Linked DNA regions of Macaca fascicularis. The protein of the gene in region 2 interacts with the protein of the main gene of each other region in a pairwise test. Links are inferred from orthologs where the notes say so. Each region holds a gene or a part of one and is shown on either strand. Other genes may lie near its edges. The genes, in order: PRDX1 and GAPDH.

Region 1 (3,807 bases), on a different chromosome or scaffold from region 2:
TGAATCTGAAGTCTTGTGTTTTACTCATGGGGAAAAAAAAAAAATACAGAAGAGGTTTTGTTCTCATGGCTGCCCACTGCAGCCTGGCACTAAAACAGCCCAGCGCTCACTTCTGCTTGGAGAAATATTCTTTGCTCTTTTGGACATCAGGCTTGATGGTATCACTGCCAGGTTTCCAGCCAGCAGGGCACACTGCAAAAGAAAGGTACCACTAATTAATAACCTTCTCAATGGTATGCACCACCATTCTCCTATGGACAAAACCAGTTCTGCACCCTAAAGAGCCTGAACACTCAGATACCAGGAAACCTACCCCTGCAATCGGTCTAAGATCATTCAGCCTTTTAGTGTAACCTAACTATTTTACAAACATTATATAATCATCACCACAGCCTTAAGATACTATTATGCCTAATTTATTCATGTAGCACTTAAAATTTAAATTTTCCACAAAAAAGGCAAGTTTAAATGATTTGCCAACACTCTCTAGTCCTTAAGGGAAAAAAAAAAAGCTAAGTAAATGATACACATAGAACTATGTAAACCCTTAACACTAAACTGTTTCCCTCTGACAGCCTTTCAGAACTCTGAAGGCAGCAACCTCAGTCTGCCTTCTCAGCATTCTTCTAACGCTACCAAACTGGAAAGCCTGAACCTTATAAAGGATCAAGAACTTAATAGAAGCCCCTGCTTGTTTCATTAAGTAACTGCCATCTACCCCTCGGTAAGCAAAAGGCAAAGTTTGAGATTTTTCGTGAATGTATACAGAAAGCACAGCCTTCAACCTTTTCCTGACAATGCCTAAGAATGTGTCTCAGGCTAGCCTGAAGAAAGTGAGGCAAGGGGACTAATCTCTCATTTTTCTTTTTCTTTTTTTGAGATGGAGTCTCGCTGTGTTGCCCAGGCTGGAGTGCAGTGGCGTGATCCCCACCTCTCTCTGCAACCTTGGTCTCCCAGGTTCAAGCAATTCTCCTGCATAAGCCTCCCAAGTAGCTGGGATTACAGGCGCCTGCCACCGCACCCGGCTAATTTTTGTATTTTTAGTAGAGATGGGGTTTCACGATGTTGGCCAGGCTGATCTCAAACTCCTGACCTCAGGTGATCTGCCTGCCTCGGCCTCCCAAAGTGCTAGGATTACAGGCGTGAGCCACCGCACCTGGCCTGATTTTTCCACTACCATGTGCTGTCATATTCTACGAGACATGTAATCAAAGTCCAGCAGGAGCAGCAAGAGTCTCAATTGCTCAAGTGAGACATAGGGAGGCCCCTCTTTGGTCCAAGGATATCATAACCTCAAATATCAAGACTCTACAAACAGCTCTCTAGGCATAAGGTACAGATGGAACAAGAGCTAAATAGAAGGACAAGCTGCCATTATTTTCCTAAAATCTCCATCTGATTGTTAGTTATTGGCTTTAGTGATATCAAAGGGTTACAATACAGGTCCTAAAGATAAACAAGTTGGAAAGAACAGCATAAAAGCAAATAAATACCAGCCTGGCCAACATAATGAAACCCCGTCTCTACTAAAAATATAAAAAATTAGCTGGGCGTGGTGGTGAGCGCCTATAATCCCAGGTACTCGGGAGGCTGAGGCAGGAGAATTGCTTGATGCAGAGGTTGCAGTGAGCTGAGATCATACCACTGCACTCTAGCCTGGATGACAGTGCGAGACTCCATCTCAAAAAAACAAGTGTTTGGCAGCCGGGCACAGTGGTTCACGCCTATAATCCCAGTGCTTTGGGAGGCCAAGGCGGAGGACTGCTTGAGCTTGAGCTCAGGAGTTCTGAGACCAGCCTGGCCAACATGGCAAAATCGCATCTCTACAAAACATACAAAAATTAGTGGGGCATGGTGGTGGGCCCCTGTAGTCCTAGCTACTCAGGAAGCTGATGCTAGAGAATTGCTTGAACCCAGGAGGTGGTGGCTGCAGTAAGCCGAGATCACACCACTGCACTCCAGTCTGGGCAACAAAACAAGATTCTGTCTCAAAAAAAAAAAAAAAAAAAAAAAAAAATATATATATATATATAGTGTTTGGCATTCATAGGCTCTTGAATGGTGCCTATTTAAGAAGCTGTACATGTTCCAGTGGGATGGGAAGCAGAAGAGACCAATAGAGTCTGAAGAAGCAAGCTTCTGAGTCATGAAAGCTTGTGTTCGGGAGACTAACCTGTATGTAGGTTCCCAGGAAAGTCCAGTTAAAGGGCCTACTTTGCCACTGCCGGCTCCTTCTTAATGCTGAACCTCATCTCCCACAAAGGGGCAGTCTCAGCAGGTGTCAGCTGAGCCATGTGTTATCTGTCCAGGCTAATTGCCCACACATCCTTCTGAAAAGGGTACCTCCTGGTTATCAGTGCTCACTGATCCCTATATAATCAGACTCTTACAGGGATTAAAAAGTAATCCCTGTAAAAAGATTATTTGGTGCTAGCCAAACTAGCACCTTTGGGTCTTCCCAAACATACACCACTAATCCAGACTCTAGTCACTAAACTTCATTTTCTTTAAATTACAAGATCAGAGCTAAAATGGGCCTTAGAAAGCTAGTCTGGGCTGGGCGCGATGGCTCATGGGAGGTGGAGGTCACAGTGAGCCAAGACTGCGCCACTGCACTCTAGCCTGGGCAACAGAGCAAGACTCTGTCTTGCAAAAAATAAATAAATAAATAAATACAAATATGAACTATATGGATTAACCTCTTCTCTCAACAGTTATTTTTTAAATGGCATGCTTCATCTCTAGATGTGATTCCCAACCATTTTGTTTTGCCCTAATACATCTGTGAGATCATCCTACATTAAGTTAGATCTTTAGGAGTGACTGATTCTAAATGAGCAGGGCAGAAGAGAGGAGTATGTACACTTCGAATAAAAAGTCTTTATATTCTCCTTCCCAAGCTTTTCCATTACCCTCACCCTCACATACTGTAATCCAGGGGCTTCAATATCTTGAAGAGAAATACCCCTTTTCTTATTAGGTAGCTTCTGTTCCTACTATCTTTCCCATTCTACCACCACTCTGTTATCCTTTTATCAGACAGATGGCTTACCTTCCCCATGTTTGTCAGTGAACTGGAAGGCCTGAACTAGTCTCAAAGTCTCATCCACAGAGCGGCCAACAGGGAGGTCATTTACAGTGATCTGCCGAAGAATACCCTTATCATCAATGATAAAGAGGCCCCTGGGAAAAGAGATGAAAGGAAAAGCAATACAGGTTTAAAGATGTGCTTTGTTAGAATACAGAAGCTTGAAGTCTTAAGGAAATGAACTGGTCTCCACATTCATACTGGCCTGGCCTTAGTGAGAAGGCCCCTGCATAAAGGAATGAAATGATGAAGGAGTCTCTACAGATCAGGGCTCTAGATTTCTCCAAATAAAAGGCTTTCAGCCAACTGGGTACTTGTCCTGATGACATACCTGAATGAAATGCCTTCATCAGCCTTTAAGACCCCATAATCCTGAGCAATGGTGCGCTTCGGGTCTGATACCAAAGGAATGTTCATGGGTCCCAGTCCTCCTTGTTTCTTAGGTGTGTTGATCCTACGGCAAAAGGCAAACACAGTTACATTCAAACTCTTGACTTAACTGTACCTATTCCTCTTTCCCCCTTTCCCATATTCCTAATCTAACTTTCCAAAAAAACTGTTTTTTTCCTTTTCCAGCAATAAAGTGAATGCTGAGAACAGTTAAGGTAGGTTACTAGGGTACACTCAACTGCAACTGAAGCTGCTGCTTCTCTGCTGCCAGGTCATGAGCAGTAAGAGAAAGTCAGACTTTGCACTTCTTCCATGAGAAGCCAATACTT
Region 2 (3,907 bases):
ATGGTGATGGGGCTTCCATTGATGACGAGCTTCCCGTTCTCAGCCTTCACGGTGCCATGGAACTTGCCATGGGTGGAATCATACTGGAACATGTAAACCTGGGGGAATACGCAAGGGTGTGAAGGGGCTGCCTGGCAGCCAGGTGGCTCCTCCCACATCAGCTTTGGGGCAGCACTCACCATGTAGTTGAGGTCAATGAAGGGGTCATTGATGGCAACAATATCCACTTTACCAGAGTTAAAAGCAGCCCTGGTGACCAGGCGCCCAATACGACCAAATCTAAGAGACAAGAGGCAAGAAGGCATGAGGAGAGGAGGCTTCTCCACAGTATGTGAGCTGCCCTAGGACACCTCTCCATTAAGAGGGCGAATGCAGCATCTCCTTACCCCCAGCATCTCCTTACCTCCATTAAGAGGTGAATTGTATCTCCCTTGAGCTCCCCTGCCAGGCTGGCCTGGCTTTACGGCATGGCTGCAACTGAAGGCTCCACTGCTGCCTAACACCCCCCGTCATAGGAAGCCCTTCCAGGAGAAGCGGCCATGTGGGGCACTGCCACCCACAGTCTGGGCACAAGCTTTGCACGTGGCATTCAGCACCTCACTATGCCACCCCAGGAATGCTTGCTGCTGCCTAGCTCAGCTTCAAACTGCACCGTTTAAGGAGAAAAGATTTGTACACTCAGCATCACCAAACTCAAAGGGCAGGAGTAAAGGTCAGAAATTAATTGGACAGGGCAAGCCCACCCCTTCTCTAAGTCCCGCCTACAAAAGGGACAGAGATTGGGCCGGGGGAAGAGGGGAAGTTGTTTTTTAACCCCCTAGTCCCAGGGCTTTAATTTGCAAGCTTCCAGTCCTTTCCTAGCTCTTTTCCAGAATTCAGGAGTGGGAGCACAGGTGTGTGCATGTGTGTGGGAGAAGGGATGGGAGACGGCCCAAGCCCAGGCCCCCAGTTACAGAAAGGTCAGCAGCTATATTTATCCTCAGACCAGGGTGCGGTGGGAGATCTGGTTTCTGGAAGACGGAATGGGGAGAAGGGCAGGTTTCCCGAGGCTCCCAGACACCCAATCCTCCGGGTGACATTTACAGCCTGGCCTTTGGGGTGGGGGGTCAACGCTAGGCTGGCAGGGGAAGAGGGGGCCATAAGGTGAGCCGCCGCTGCAGAAAGGGGCCACCGCCAGAGGGGCCATTTTGCGGTGGAAATGTCCTTTTCCAACTACCGATGACTCAGCTCCCCCCGGCTTGGCACCAAGCCACAGCCACCACACCTCTGGAGGGAGGGGACGCAGGAGGACCTCCATAAACCCACTTCTTTGATTTACCAGAGAATTATCTAGAAAAAGCATCACCCGGAGGGGAAATAGGGCTTGCAGCTCAGGGGCCGACTTGAGAGCAGGGGCCGGGAAGCCTCGCTCCACCTGACTTCCCCGCCACACGCGACTCCACCCACCGAGGCAGGAGCGCAGGGTTAGTCACCGGCAGGGTTTCCTAACGGCGGCCCATTCATTTCCTTCCCGGTTGCAACATGGCGGCCGCTCTACCGCAGGCGCAGCCTCCGGACTGGGATGCACCCGCTGCGCACTAGCATCCCGGGGCCTGCGGTGCCGGAGGCCATGGGGGAGGGGCTCCTCTGCGACACGTGACCTCGCAGAGCGCGAAAGGAAAGAAAGCGTCCCCAGCTAGGGGTCCGGGTCGGATGGAATCTCGGGCGGGAGTAGGGACCTCCTGTCCTGGGGACTAGGGAAGGCAGGCCCCGGGCAGATGGCGCCGCAAGGGCGGAGCTGCACAGGGCGCCACAGCCTGGGTGCGGGGCTCCGCCAGGTCCGAGCGCTGACCTTGAGCTCTCCTTGCCGGACGCAGCTACCCTACCCCATACGACAGCAAAGACCCGGAGCCCGCAAGGCTCGTAGACGCAGTTTGCGGGCGGCCCAGGGCCCCCCAGCCACCCACGAACTCACCCGTTGACTCCGACCTTCACCTTCCCCATGGTGTCTCAGGGATGCGCTGCGCGGAGAGAGAGAACAGTGAGCGCCTAGTGGTCCCGGTCGACACCCACGCCTCCCCTCCCCTCCCCCCACCAGCCTCCATGCCCAGCCCGCGCCGCATCACGTCCTCCGCCCGCCCCTGCAATGCGGAGGCAGCCCGGGCCCGGACCCGGACCCTGGCCCGCGCCCACCCCGCAGCGGCGCGAACACGTCCGGCCCACGCCCGCTCCTGCCGCCTTCAGGCCCGTCCCTAGCCTCCGGGCTCCTCTCCGCCCGTCTTCACCTGGCGATGCAAGAGAAAATGCGACTGACTCTCGAACAGGAGGAGCAGAGAGCGCAGGGGGAGGCTGCGGGCTCAATTTATAGAAACCCGGGGGCGCGGCGGCAGGCGGTGACTCTGACCCCGCCTCCCGCCGGGCTCAGCCAGTCCCAGTCCAAGGACTTGAGGCCTGAGCTACGTGCGCCCGTAAAACCGCGAGTAGCGGGGCCCTGCTTTCTCCCTGCTCTTTTTTTTTTTCCGCAGCCGCCTAGTTCAACTGGGCACGCATCAAGCGTGTGGGCCCCGACGGAGGGGGGAAGGGACTGAGACTGGCCCGATGGGAGGTGATCGGTGCTGCTTCCCAGGACTGGAGTGTGGGCAGCAGGAGACTAGGGAGTCAAGGACGGGGGCCCTTACACGCACGGATGAAACAGGACTTTGGGAGCGACTGAGATGGGGAATTGGAGCCCGAGCCCTGCACGGCTCGCGGCTGCACGCGGCCTGCCCCCTCCCCTTTCTTTCAAAGGCTGAGAGGCGGGAAAGTTGGGGAACTTCTCCTCGAGGCTCTGCGGTAGTGACACCGGAATAGCTGAAGCAAAGGGCTAGGAGGGGCCCGTGGGCCCTTCCCAGCCCCCACTTCCCCCTCCCCATCTCCTGGCTCCTGGCCTCTCTGGGACCGAGGCCTGGCCTGGGCACTGGGCAGTGGGGGCCTGGAGAGGAAGGAGGCTCGGGAGGCGGCTTGAGGGGGAGGTTTCTACACGGAAGGTCACGATGTCCTGCAGCCCTGTAGCTTGGACCTGATGATTAGGGCAGACAATCCAGGCCCTGTGTGCACCAGCGGCTCTCCCCGGGCTGGGGCCCCAGGCGGAGGACAGGATGGCTGGTGGGGGCCCAGAGGCCTCCCACAAAGTCACTCCTGGAGCCCCGTGGGCTGTGCTGCCTAGGGTGAGAGACAGTGTGCCTTTCACTCCATCCAGCCCGGGGCGAAGAGCGGGACGTGAGGGCGGAAGTGCCTCCCCGCCCTGGGACGTGCAGGCGAGCCAGGAGCCAGGGACTCCCCTTCACTGGCTTCGCTGGGGGATATTGAGGGCAGGGTGAGTCAAGAAGAGGGAAAAAGTGGGAAAAGAGGTCTTGGGCACATGGTGGGAACAGGCCCCCTGCCCCTTCCCACAGGGTATCCATTTCTCTGGTAGGAGGGCAGAGGGCCAGGTTTGTGAGTGTGGGATGGGAGCGTGCTGAACACTTGTAAGGAAGGGGGTGGGGTGGGGTGGCCTTGGCCCATCAGCAGGTGCATGGGAGGGGGATCCTGGGCCTCTTTGCTGGCCCAGCATAACCTGACACCAGCCCCCTGCCCTTCTAGCTAAAAGCCGTTTGCTAAGTTTAGCCCGCCTGGTGATAATCTTTGCTTAAAAGGCACCCACAGGACTCCAGTCCTTGTCCCTGCCTTTCTGGGATTGCCTTTCCTCCTGGGACCCAGAACCAGGCTGTGTCCTCGTCTGGCTGCCATTGGCATGGTTGGTGCGGGCTTTTCACAATGACCACCCAGAGCAGAGTAGCAAGAGCAAGGCAAGAGGGTCCTTAATGGTGGAAGGGTGGGGTGGGGGAGTGGAGGAAGCCCCACCTCTGACTCAGCTATTCCTGCAACCAGGACCATTAACCCTTTCCCA

The links.
Region 1: the proteins of GAPDH (region 2) and PRDX1 interact in a two-hybrid assay, tested with the Homo sapiens proteins (2 studies listed by BioGRID and IntAct, with this or other methods). The link is inferred for Macaca fascicularis from reciprocal best matches to the Homo sapiens genes GAPDH and PRDX1.

Annotation. Positions count from the first base shown.
Region 1 is NC_088375.1:189,206,405-189,210,211, reverse strand, and holds part of PRDX1 (peroxiredoxin-1), read right to left. Parts: intron 3,543-3,807; coding exon 3,420-3,542; intron 3,184-3,419; coding exon 3,053-3,183; intron 193-3,052; coding exon 107-192; 3' UTR 1-106. UniProt on the Homo sapiens protein: Thiol-specific peroxidase that catalyzes the reduction of hydrogen peroxide and organic hydroperoxides to water and alcohols, respectively.
Region 2 is NC_088385.1:7,455,233-7,459,139, reverse strand, and holds the start of GAPDH (glyceraldehyde-3-phosphate dehydrogenase), read right to left. Parts: upstream 2,318-3,907; 5' UTR 2,173-2,317; intron 2,001-2,172; 5' UTR 1,984-2,000; coding exon 1,955-1,983; exon of another isoform or gene 1,447-1,954; intron 647-1,446; exon of another isoform or gene 306-646; coding exon of another isoform or gene 280-305; coding exon 180-279; intron 99-179; coding exon 1-98. UniProt on the Homo sapiens protein: Has both glyceraldehyde-3-phosphate dehydrogenase and nitrosylase activities, thereby playing a role in glycolysis and nuclear functions, respectively.